Saccharomyces cerevisiae S288C: one gene and its partners. The protein of the gene in region 3 interacts with the protein of the main gene of each other region in a pairwise test. Each region holds a gene or a part of one and is shown on either strand. Other genes may lie near its edges. The genes, in order: SPT4, RRD1 and PSY2.

Evidence for each region.
Region 1: the proteins of PSY2 (region 3) and SPT4 interact in a two-hybrid assay, tested with the Saccharomyces cerevisiae proteins (one study listed by BioGRID).
Region 2: the proteins of PSY2 (region 3) and RRD1 interact in binary tests that used the Saccharomyces cerevisiae proteins (3 or more experiments, as listed by UniProt).

What each region holds. Positions count from the first base shown.
Region 1 is NC_001139.9:616,904-619,784, forward strand, and holds SPT4 (transcription elongation factor SPT4), read right to left. Parts: upstream 922-2,881; coding exon 613-921; downstream 1-612. Other genes in the region: membrane insertase COX18, read right to left, coding at 1-375; VHT1 (Vht1p), read right to left, coding at 1,174-2,881.
Region 2 is NC_001141.2:53,225-57,032, forward strand, and holds RRD1 (peptidylprolyl isomerase RRD1), read left to right. Parts: upstream 1-1,973; coding exon 1,974-3,155; downstream 3,156-3,808. Other genes in the region: GUT2 (glycerol-3-phosphate dehydrogenase), read right to left, coding at 1-484; IMP21 (Imp21p), read right to left, coding at 757-1,797; VPR1 (Vpr1p), read left to right, coding at 3,321-3,808. UniProt on the Saccharomyces cerevisiae protein: PPIases accelerate the folding of proteins. It catalyzes the cis-trans isomerization of proline imidic peptide bonds in oligopeptides.
Region 3 is NC_001146.8:260,120-265,273, reverse strand, and holds PSY2 (Psy2p), read left to right. Parts: upstream 1-2,070; coding exon 2,071-4,647; downstream 4,648-5,154. Other genes in the region: GCR2 (Gcr2p), read left to right, coding at 1-348; NNR1 (NADHX epimerase), read left to right, coding at 821-1,561; SPS19 (2,4-dienoyl-CoA reductase (NADPH)), read right to left, coding at 4,818-5,154.

The DNA of each region.
Region 1 (2,881 bases), on a different chromosome or scaffold from region 3:
CATGAAAGAACCGTTGGAGCTAATTCTGGCGGCATTTCTAGACTTTTTATTAGTAACGGCTGCCAGTCGAAGTTTAATAATGGGCGTTATTGGCTGTACTAATTTCCTCAGTTCTTGTTGTTTCAAAATTCTCCTCCGCTGCCATATACTGAATGGCAGCGTCACGAGGGTTCTAAGGGTCATAGTAGTCAAAGGAACAAGCACTATCCATGGTATATGTGAGGCTTCATGCACTGTTAAAAACGTGTCCGCTACACTTTGAAAAAGTGAAAAGCTTCTCTTTGTACTTGGATTAGTCCTACCATATCGCAGACCGACTGAGCTGCACGAGAATGACGCAAAACCATTTTGACGATTGGCTAACCTCTTTAACATAATGCCATACTTTATCTTGAAATTTTCCTATCCTTGGACCTTTTTTTTCTAATGAAAGTCTTTTTAGCCTTAGTTGAATTACTGGACGGTAGAAAAATTGGGTTTGCCAGCAAAAACAAAAGTGCAGAACGTTAAATAAATGAAAGCATAAACTCATATGCTAGAATATTTACTAAAAAAAAAAAAAAGTAAAAAAAATTCATTACTATTATACATGTGATATCAGAACGGAAGGTTTTACTCAACTTGACTGCCATCCCTCGGTTTGTAGTGAGGCAACAGCTCCACAACCTCAGCTGGTAGTCTACCATCGACCTTGATGGCGTACATACCAGCTATACTATGATCTACGCTCAGCCACTTTGCTACCCACGACTTAGTAGGCTTACACATTCCTACGAGGCCCTCGAAAGAAGGCGACGTACATTCCATTGTAGAAACACCTGCCTCTTCAAAAATACCCTGACAGTTGGGACAACCATCTCTATTAAACTCATTTGTGGTCTGCACTATGCCACACAGCATACAGGCTCTTTCACTAGACATCTCTTACACTGTACCTCGTTCGCTTTTGCCAAACTGAATGTGGCCAGGTGTAATTATTACACAGTACATCCTTCGAGCCCTTTCTTAAATTTCACTTTTTCACTCGATTTCACTCATAGAACGTATAAGGTGACCTTTATCAACATCGAGATTAATTATAGATAGAAGATGATTAAATTATATACATGAATATATTTATTTGAGGTATGGTGTCTAAAGCGTAATATACCTATCTACTTCACGTAAATTGGACTACGAGGACCGCTTTAAATAGTAGTAACCATCTCTTTCCTCCATATTTTTCTTTACAAATTCTGGAAGCTCTTCACCCTTATTACTATCATACAAGATGATACCATTACCTAGAGCATGTTTCTTTTCGTTTCTCTTGTAAAAAAAAAGTACAACAAACGTCCATAAACCGTAAATAGCACCAAAAATTAAGCTCACGGTGTAACCAGTCTTAAAACGTGGTGACTCCACGGTAGGCCACGCCAAGGTAGGAATCCAGGCGTAAGTGGATTGAGAGAAGGAATAAATGGCGATCCATGTAATAGCCTTCACCTGAGGATCAAACCTTAAGAAGTCATTAATAAACGACCATAGACAAGGCGATGCGGCCACACTGAAATACGTGGTGAAGAAAGCGTACCATTTAGCTTTCGAAGGAATATCCCACTTGATAAGTAAGGCACAAGAAACGGTATTCATTATAGCAGCAAAAACCATGAATATCCACTTACATCTAAATAAATCGGCACCAAAGGCACAAAAAATCACATACGCAAATCCTAAACATGCGGGTATAACACTCAGGTTGTTCACTTGGGCAATGGAGTACTTTGTATTAGACTTTAACCACAAAGTATATGAACCACTATACGCAGTCATGTTATTCCACGAACATGTATCAAAAACAACAAGTACCCAGAATGCTGGAGTACAAAATACTTTCTTCCAAAGTTTTCTGCTCCATAATGGGGCTAGCTTACTTTTATCAACACCATCTTTGATTTGGTTCCTCTTATTTCTGGCCCTTGCAATTCGTATTTCTTCGTCAGTCAGAAATAAAGAGTAACACTTAGATGGTACACCGGGAATAACAAAAAAACCAATAATAGCCGTGGGAAGAGAAATTGCAATGGCATCGATCAGAAACATCCATCTCCAGCCTGCTAGACCATGGACGCCGTTCAAACTTTTGAATATGCGACTTTGCAGAAGTCCTGAAGTCACGGAACCCAATTGTTGCCCACAAAAGAATAAACAGACTCTTGAATTAATTTCATCTGGGGCATACCAACAACCTAGTATATATTGGGACACTGGGTAGTAAGCAGCGCCAAAGGCACTTAAAATAAATCTGTAAGCCCTTAGTTCGGCTAGTGAGTTTGCCCTATAACATGCAAATGTGAACCAAGTCCAGCCCAAGTCCATTACAGGCAAAATAATATGAGAGGGAAATCTTGGTAACAAATACATAAATGGTAATTGGAAGACAATGGCACCAACATTAGCAATAGTAGAAGTGTAAACGTAATCATTACCTTTCATGTTTAAATCTTCCTTCATATTGGAAACATATGCGTTAGTGTAGTTATTCAAATCCACTGACTTGGACCAACATAACATAAAAAAGTATAAAGCAATAATAATGTCTAGCTTGTAAAGAAGCCGTCTTTCAGCCTTGGTTTGAGTAGTATGATTAGGATACAAAAACTCGTACCACTTACGTGATTTCTTGTATTCCTTATTAACACGATACTCGAATTCATCAAAATATTTCCACCATTTACGCCCAGCTTCATCTCTCACTTCATATGGCAAGTCATGCCTTAAATTGTGAGGATGAGGTTCTACAGCTGTAGTTTCTGCCGTAACGTCTGTCTTCGAGGACTTATCTACGCTATGATGTAGCTCCTCTTCAGCTATGATACTGGAGTTAGTATCGTCTGAGTAT
Region 2 (3,808 bases), on a different chromosome or scaffold from region 3:
TGGGGATCAGAATTGGTAGCACCGTGCACAGGTGAGGGGCAGTGTTGATAAGATGTTTACGCTCGTTGAGTGCCTCGATGACCAGATCCAGTTGTGCCTTGGAGAACTCCCAGAAGGCCTTCTCTAAGTACCGCACCCCACCGTGAATCATCTTGGTAGATTTGGACGACGTTCCCGAGGCAAAATCCCCCTTTTCAACAAGGGCCACATTGAGTCCCCTGGTCGCAGCATCTAGGGCACATCCTGTCCCCGTGGCCCCGCCACCGATGATCAACACGTCGAATTGATGCGTCTTGGCCAGACGGTCCAGCAGGTCTCGTCTAGAGACCTGCGGTGGAGCGGCGGTGGGGAATTGCACCATGTAGCTCGGGTCATTGTGCACTAACGGCCTATCACCTTGGCTAGTCATCCAGTACAGCGTCCCCGTGGCTGTGGCCATGGCAGCAGCTGCACCGGCAGCTCTTCTTCTCGTTACCGAAAACATATATTAGTACGTATTTAGTCTTGTAGCAGTGATGGCAATAGCACGGTCAAGATAAGGGAGGGAGAGTCCTTGCTTTAGACCAAAGTTCCCTATTTGTGGCTGTTCTCTTTTAAGTTTAAATACGATTTTTAGCGTGCGGGGTTGTGAAATTTCCCCTGCCAAAACTGAAATAAAGTTGGGTGGATAACGTATCGGAGCAGAGAAAAGACATAAGGTCTGTTGCTGTATATAAGTATGTGTTGCTAAAAAGGAATTAGTGCAGTGATTATTGGTCACTCGCTGATGCCCTTGCGCTTGGCACGTTTCAGCTTCTTTCTAACCGCGAGGATGGGCACAGAGCAGACGAAGTTCTGCAGAGTGGACAGGATGACCGAGAGGGAGCAGCACAGGGCGACTGGCTTGAGGCCGTGGATCATCTCGTTGAGGAGGTGTTTTGGGTACGGATGGGTCAAGGAGAGGACGACGACGTCGAGGTCGTCGAGCACGCCCGCGACGCAGTCAAACAGGTGCATGACGTGCTTTCTGATTCTGGCAACGTTGGCGAACATCTGGGAGTCGTCCGTGGGCTTCGAGGGCTCCCAGTGGACAATGTAGACGGTGTCTCCCTGGTTGACAGCTGCGCCCATGAGATAGGTCAGGGCGTAGGTGGACTCGCTGCTCAGGTCCGTGTAGAGGATGAAGGACCTTTGGTTCCCGGCCTCTGCGCCGGCACCCTTGGTGAGTAGTTGCATGGCTCTGACGTAGCCTCCGTCGAGTTGCTCCAGAGACACGTCTTCGTTTTCGTGGCCACGGATGCTGATCTCGTACTTGGCTATCCAGGGCTTGCTGGAGTCTAGCACTTCGTTTATGCTGGTACAAAAGTTGGGTAACACTTTCATGCCCAGATCGTAGTGGAACTCCTCGTCAATCTCTAAATCGTTCTCTATATCGCTCACTTGCTCTTCATCGGACTCTTCCTCGTCCATATCGTCGCCGTCGCCGTCGTCGTCATCTTCGTCGTTGCCCTCACCTTCCTCTTCAGAATCCACATCCACGACCCTCAACCGCATCGAGGGGTCCTGCCTCAACACGGTCCACTTGAGGAACTCTTCCTCCCTTACTCTGCTGCGGCTACTGGCCCTGCTTCTCGACCGCGACAGACTGCTCACGTTTGAGTCTCGTTCGCCTCTTTTCTTCTTGCTACGACCTCTTTCCCTGTGGCCCCTTTCCATCTGCTCCGAGTCGAACTCCACCGTGGTGGGCGTTTCCGTTTTGATGCTGTGTAGATTCGATTGTGTTCCGTCAGGTTTAGTCAGCAATATGCTCTTCTGCATTGCGTACTTGGTTGTTTCTCTTGTTGGTTCTTTTGGTACTCACCCTTTCCATAGTCTCTTGTGTTTGATCAAGCCTTTTTTCCGGACCTTTAAAGCTTTCTTAAAAAGATAAAATAGGAAGAAAGTGCAAAGTGCAAAAGAACGCACATATGAACAAGCATTAAACGAGCAAAGAAATGTCTCTGGATCGTGTAGATTGGCCGCACGCCACCTTCTCTACGCCGGTGAAGCGTATCTTCGATACGCAGACAACGCTGGACTTCCAATCGTCACTAGCCATTCACAGAATCAAGTATCATCTTCACAAGTACACTACGTTGATATCGCACTGTTCTGACCCCGACCCGCACGCTACTGCGTCGTCGATCGCCATGGTTAACGGGCTGATGGGAGTGTTGGACAAGCTGGCACACCTGATCGACGAGACACCGCCTCTTCCAGGTCCTAGAAGGTATGGTAACCTAGCATGCCGCGAGTGGCATCACAAGCTGGATGAACGTTTGCCTCAGTGGCTGCAGGAAATGCTTCCCTCGGAATACCATGAGGTGGTGCCTGAATTGCAGTATTACCTGGGCAACAGCTTTGGTTCGTCGACAAGATTGGACTACGGCACGGGCCACGAACTTTCGTTCATGGCCACGGTCGCAGCACTGGACATGCTGGGGATGTTTCCGCACATGAGGGGGGCAGACGTTTTTCTGCTGTTCAACAAGTACTACACGATCATGAGGAGGCTGATCCTGACGTATACGCTGGAGCCCGCTGGGTCACATGGCGTGTGGGGGCTTGATGACCATTTCCACTTGGTGTACATCTTGGGCTCGTCTCAATGGCAGCTGCTTGATGCGCAAGCACCCTTGCAACCAAGAGAAATACTGGATAAGTCTCTGGTGCGCGAGTATAAGGACACCAACTTCTACTGCCAAGGCATAAACTTTATTAATGAGGTGAAAATGGGGCCCTTTGAAGAGCATTCCCCCATCCTATACGATATTGCCGTCACCGTTCCACGCTGGTCCAAAGTGTGTAAGGGGCTTCTAAAAATGTATTCTGTAGAGGTTCTGAAGAAGTTCCCCGTGGTGCAACATTTCTGGTTCGGCACAGGCTTCTTTCCCTGGGTCAACATTCAAAACGGCACTGATCTTCCAGTCTTTGAAGAAAAGGAGGAAGAGAGTATAGAACAGGCTAACGCAGGATCGCCCGGTCGAGAACAGACTTCAACACGATTCCCAACGTCCACGTCAATGCCTCCCCCAGGCGTTCCGCCGTCAGGTAACAATATCAACTATTTACTAAGCCATCAAAACCAGTCGCACCGGAACCAGACTTCTTTTTCAAGAGATAGACTACGTAGATAATATTAATTAAACATATAAATGTGTATGACAAGCATTATGACTTCTATTTTCGTTCTTTTTTACTTGCGTCTACAATATATAAGCATATAATCAGATGAAAAAAGGAAAAGGAAGCGGTAATACAAATAAACAAAGAAGTGGAAAAAGTCGCCACAGTGTAAGCAAATGAGTCACAAGAGAAGGGGCCTGGTAATATATCAGGATCAGAAGCAGCAACAACAACACCCCCCGGGGCAGTCCCTAAGCTCTATATCCTGGTCTCCAACCAGGCGACCTCATCACCCTTTAAAACAACAAAGCACCAACAGTTTCTCAGAAATACTATCGAAATCAAGTGTGCAACCGAACGTGCAACATGACGGTAATCATATGCCCATTTCATTGCTAGTTCTGAAACAAGAACATCATAAGCAGCAGCAGCAGCAGCAGCAGCGCCAGAATATCCGATCACAAAACTCTACGCCTCCCCTGCGACAGTTGGTTCAGGAGTCGCAGTGGACGAGCTCCGCAAGTAATAGTTCTCTAAAGAAACAGGAAAAGCAGCCGCAAACATTCTACAACACTGACTCTAAACTTGTTTCTCAACTGCATAGCTCCGTGAAGGACCTGGATGCCATAATCCAGACGCATAAACCAAAGTTTGACACAATTAT
Region 3 (5,154 bases):
GTGGAAGAACTTTTGCAACTGACAAATACGAGTAAGAGGCAGAGGCCGATGACAACTGCAGCAGAGGGTGCGTTAATAAATGATGGTCCGGACACTAATTTAAACGCGAATAACACCCAAATGAAAGTTGATTTAAATCCTTCAAACAGCATGGGACCTATAGATACAGAAGCCGTGATACGCCCATTGAAAGAAGCTTATGACGCAATCATTTCTGAAAAAGGCCAAAGAATTGTGCAATTAGAAAGAGAATTGGAATTACAGCGCCAAGAGACGCAGTGGTTAAGGAAAATGTTAATTGAAGACATGGGTTGTGTTAGAAGTATGTTAAGGGATTTACAAAGATGACACGATAATAATGTTTAACATATATTGCTTTCTCTTTTAATTTTCTGGTGTAGATTGGCGGTATAATTAACTATTTAACAGTGACGTTTACTATCTTACTGTTTCTTGTACTCTTTTATAATGAACAGACGTTATTATATAACTACGAACTAATGATAATTCTTTTTACGTTATTCCTGATGTAAAGGATACAAAATGGGTTTCTTTATTTTGCAGCAGAACCGTAAAATTTACGCTACTTTTACCGTGGGTCCTCTTATTTGATTGTTTCCGTCGCTACGAGCGAACAAGGGGTGGAGACAATAGGGATGGTGAATATATACACATACGTTCATATATAAGAAAAAAACTCAAGAAGAATATCAAACGACCAGGATCCTTGCTTATATTATTGTCTGTTGCTGGGCCAACACATATTTTCATTTCAACACACCAATCTCAGGTATTAAAGAGAAATCATTGTAAGGTAAAAATGTCTACGTTGAAAGTTGTTTCATCAAAGCTTGCAGCTGAAATCGACAAAGAATTGATGGGTCCTCAAATCGGATTCACTCTACAACAGCTAATGGAGTTAGCTGGGTTTAGTGTCGCGCAGGCTGTATGTCGCCAGTTTCCACTGAGAGGCAAGACAGAAACGGAAAAGGGCAAACATGTATTTGTTATTGCTGGGCCAGGTAACAATGGCGGGGATGGTCTCGTGTGCGCAAGACATTTGAAGCTTTTTGGTTACAACCCTGTTGTTTTCTACCCCAAGAGAAGCGAGCGCACTGAATTCTACAAACAGCTGGTTCACCAATTGAATTTTTTCAAAGTTCCTGTCCTGTCTCAAGATGAGGGAAACTGGCTGGAATATTTGAAGCCGGAAAAGACCTTATGCATTGTAGATGCAATATTTGGTTTTAGTTTCAAGCCTCCCATGAGAGAGCCATTCAAGGGCATTGTCGAAGAACTGTGCAAAGTGCAAAACATTATCCCGATTGTTTCGGTGGACGTCCCCACAGGTTGGGACGTTGACAAAGGTCCGATCTCTCAGCCCTCAATTAATCCTGCTGTTCTTGTATCTCTGACTGTCCCCAAGCCATGCAGCTCTCACATAAGGGAGAATCAAACAACTCATTACGTGGGGGGAAGATTCATTCCTCGAGATTTCGCCAATAAATTCGGCTTTGAGCCATTTGGATATGAATCCACAGACCAAATATTGAAACTCTGATAGCCCAAATCTATAATGCCACTACCATACATAATTTTTATATAATCCCTTATTTTGTGAACAAATAGCCATCATGATTCTCTTTTAAGATGATAAAACCGTCGTTTCTTTTTCTGACGCGCCATCTTTTCTTTTTCTATCTGTCTTTTTTTTTTTTCCTTTGGTGTTTCATCCGAAGAAGAAACAAAAGAAAGAAGACCAATACTTTCTAAAGGGCAATTGCAAGGTAGATATAACTAGAATTGCACAATAGAGATTGCTTGCATCAGTGGCATAGTTAACAATATTTTCTCGGCCTCCTTTGACGTAAAATCTAAAAGACCTAGTGCTTTCAAAACCCGCGCATACTGAAAAAAAAAAAAATAAAGAAGAGTGTACTGAACTGGTACTATAATTCATCGAAACTCATTTATTCCATATTAAACCGGTAGAAAACAGTATTTTTTTTGGTCTGTGTTTGAAACAGAAATTCTAACTGAAAAGTTTAGGATTTACGTATAGTAAGAGTAATGTCATTACCGGGTACACCTACTACATCTCCGACCCCGATGGATGAGGATACTGAACAAGCCGTTTCGGTTAATACTGAACCCAAAAGAGTAAAGGTTTACATTTTAGAGAACAACGAATGGAAAGACACAGGTACAGGGTTTTGTATAGGGGAGGTGGACGAAGGTAAGTTCGCATATCTTGTTGTCTCAGATGAAGACTCCCCAACTGAAACTTTACTAAAATCCAAACTAGAAGGAAATATTGAATATCAACGGCAGGAGGAAACGCTTATTGTTTGGAAGGATTTAGGGGGGAAAGATATAGCCTTGAGTTTTGAAGAAAGTATGGGATGTGACACCTTATGTGAATTCATTGTTCACGTCCAAAGGAACATAGAGTCAAATATTTCTTTAGTCACCGTAAAATCCAGCGACAACGGACTCGGGTCTGTTCACGACATTATAACGGGCCCTGTGACCTTGCCCTCCAACGACCAGCAACAGAATAGTCAAACTTTACTAGAAGCTCTAAAGATTTTGAATGAAAATACTTCTTTCGATTTTTTGAAAAACGAAACCATTGAGTTTATCCTCCAGTCAAATTACATTGATACACTGATTTCTCATTTCCACAAAGCAGAAGAAGAAAAGATACCGAAGGATTTATTTTTGCTAAGTAACATCATCAAAACTTTGATACTTTACAATAAAAGAGACATATTGGAGTCAATGGTGGAGGACGATAGGATTATGGGAATAGTTGGGATTTTAGAATACGATACTGAATACCCTACATCAAAGGCAAATCATAGGAAATATTTAGGATCAAAAGGTCCCAATTTCAAAGAGGTTATTCCATTGGAAAATGAGGACTTAAAAATAATAATGAAAAAATGTTTTCGCTTACAGTTCTTAAAAGACGTGGTATTAGTACGATTTTTAGACGATCATAATTTCAACTTAATCTCGGAAATTGTCATGGACCTGGAAACGTGTATAATCGACTTTCTTCAAGTAGGGACGTTTTTGGACAGACTAATAGAGCTTTATGATACCAAAACCCTTCCAGAAAGCTCTTCAGAGAAGGAGAAGTTTGTACAAAAACGAAAAGACGGGATTAGATTGTTGCAACAGTGTGTTCAAATGTCAATCAATTTAGATGCGGTTGACCGTTCTAAGTTCTATAAAACACTTGTTCGAAAGGGTCTATTCAAAGTTTTAGATTATGCATTTCACATGGAGACGGATAGTAATGTTAGGATTTTAGCTACGGATACTATCATTACTATAATCGAACACGATATCTTGTTAATTCACAACGTTCAGAATGAAGATTCTTTCAAACGGCAACATAAATCAGCGCCCGATGACAAGTCTTCCCATCGGAAATATCCGCAGGATTACAGCTCCAGTACTGATTCCAAGTTGTTATTGATACTTTCAACCATTCTTCTGTCCGACAGGAGTCCCGGATTGCGAGAACAAGTTGTGCAAGCGCTAAATACTTTGCTTCACCCTGAAGGATGTGTGGGTAATGGAGAAGGTTCATATGATCTTATGGGCAGATCAAATTATGAAGCTAAGAACACATCTGAAGATTTCCCAAGTTTCAGTTATGGTTTAAACTCGGATTCAATCAATTTAAATAACTATCACTATAGCAGCGATGAAATGAATAATCTAGAGCCAGAATCTGAATCTGAATTTCAAGTAATGGAATATTTTGCAAATTTCTATAATAAAATCGCACCCATACTGTTTGGTCCATTAATCAAGAAGGATATCACAACGGAAATGGCAGAAATAGATGGGCAAATAGAAAAGGTTACAAAAGACGATCTTTTGTTAATTCATTTAGTGAAATTGGTATCATTTGTTTGCACTGAGCATGATCGTGTCTTATCCAGAAGATTCATATTAGAAAACGGTATACTAGATTCTGTTAGCAAACTTATCGGCGGTAATCATATGATGCAGCTAAGGTTAACAGCAGTAAGATGCATTAAAAACCTTATGTGTCTCGATGATAAATACTATCATCGATATATGATTTCAAAAAATTTATATGCGCCGGTTTTTAAACTCTTCCAGGAGAACATAGATAAGAATAATCTTGCAAATTCATGCATTCAAGATTTTTTCCGCATTATTATAACAGAATGTAGAGCTTATCAAAGTGATGGCCATAACAGAAAGGAAAAAACCAATGGTTCTTATGATGGCAACGGTAATGACGTCAAAACGAACGTGAACAACAATAGGACAAACTTTACCATTTTAAACAAATACTTAGTTCAAACATATGGTGATGTCTTGAGAAAAGCTACTGATATCCCTTTCATCCAGGATATGCTAGAAACCGGGGAAGAAAACCAACCCGATCATTCTAGCTTTGAAAATAGCATTGAAGGGGGGAATGACATTTCTGTAAATATGTCAACAGATGGATTTGCTTCGAATCATTTAGAAGATATTGACATTAAAAACGTCAAAAGATTACATTCTGAGATTGAACACTTTGAAAATGACCCCCATTATTCTGGTGATCAGTTAGCATTTAAAAAAAGCGTTGACCAAATGAATGCAAGTACTTGAGTTTTTCCTTGTTGGAAAGAAGAATAAAAAGCTAGCACAACGGTCATGGTTGTAAGAAGTTTAACAACGATAGTGCACTCATTGTATATAAAATTCATCAATATACAATTAACTATCAAAAAGCATACGAGAAAGTGTCATATAATAATAGTACTCAATACCTATACGTATTATAATTTAGATGTCATACTCTTTATTAAGGCTTCTGGATACAACTCATGTCCAAAATAGGTCCCTAAATGCCACATACCACCGTCAACAACTAAGACGGTACCGGTGACATACGATGCGGCGGGTGAAAAAATATAAACAGTAGATTCGGCTATATCCCGTGTAGATCCAAGCCTTTGTAATGGTATCTTTGCCAAGGCCTTTTCCTTATATTTTTTGCCGGCTAATCTCTTCAAGCCTTCCGTATTATCGATAGCACCTGGAGCAATGCAATTCGAACGTATACCCAGAGGCCCCAACTCAACCGCTAAATTCTTTGCCAATGCGTCTATTCCC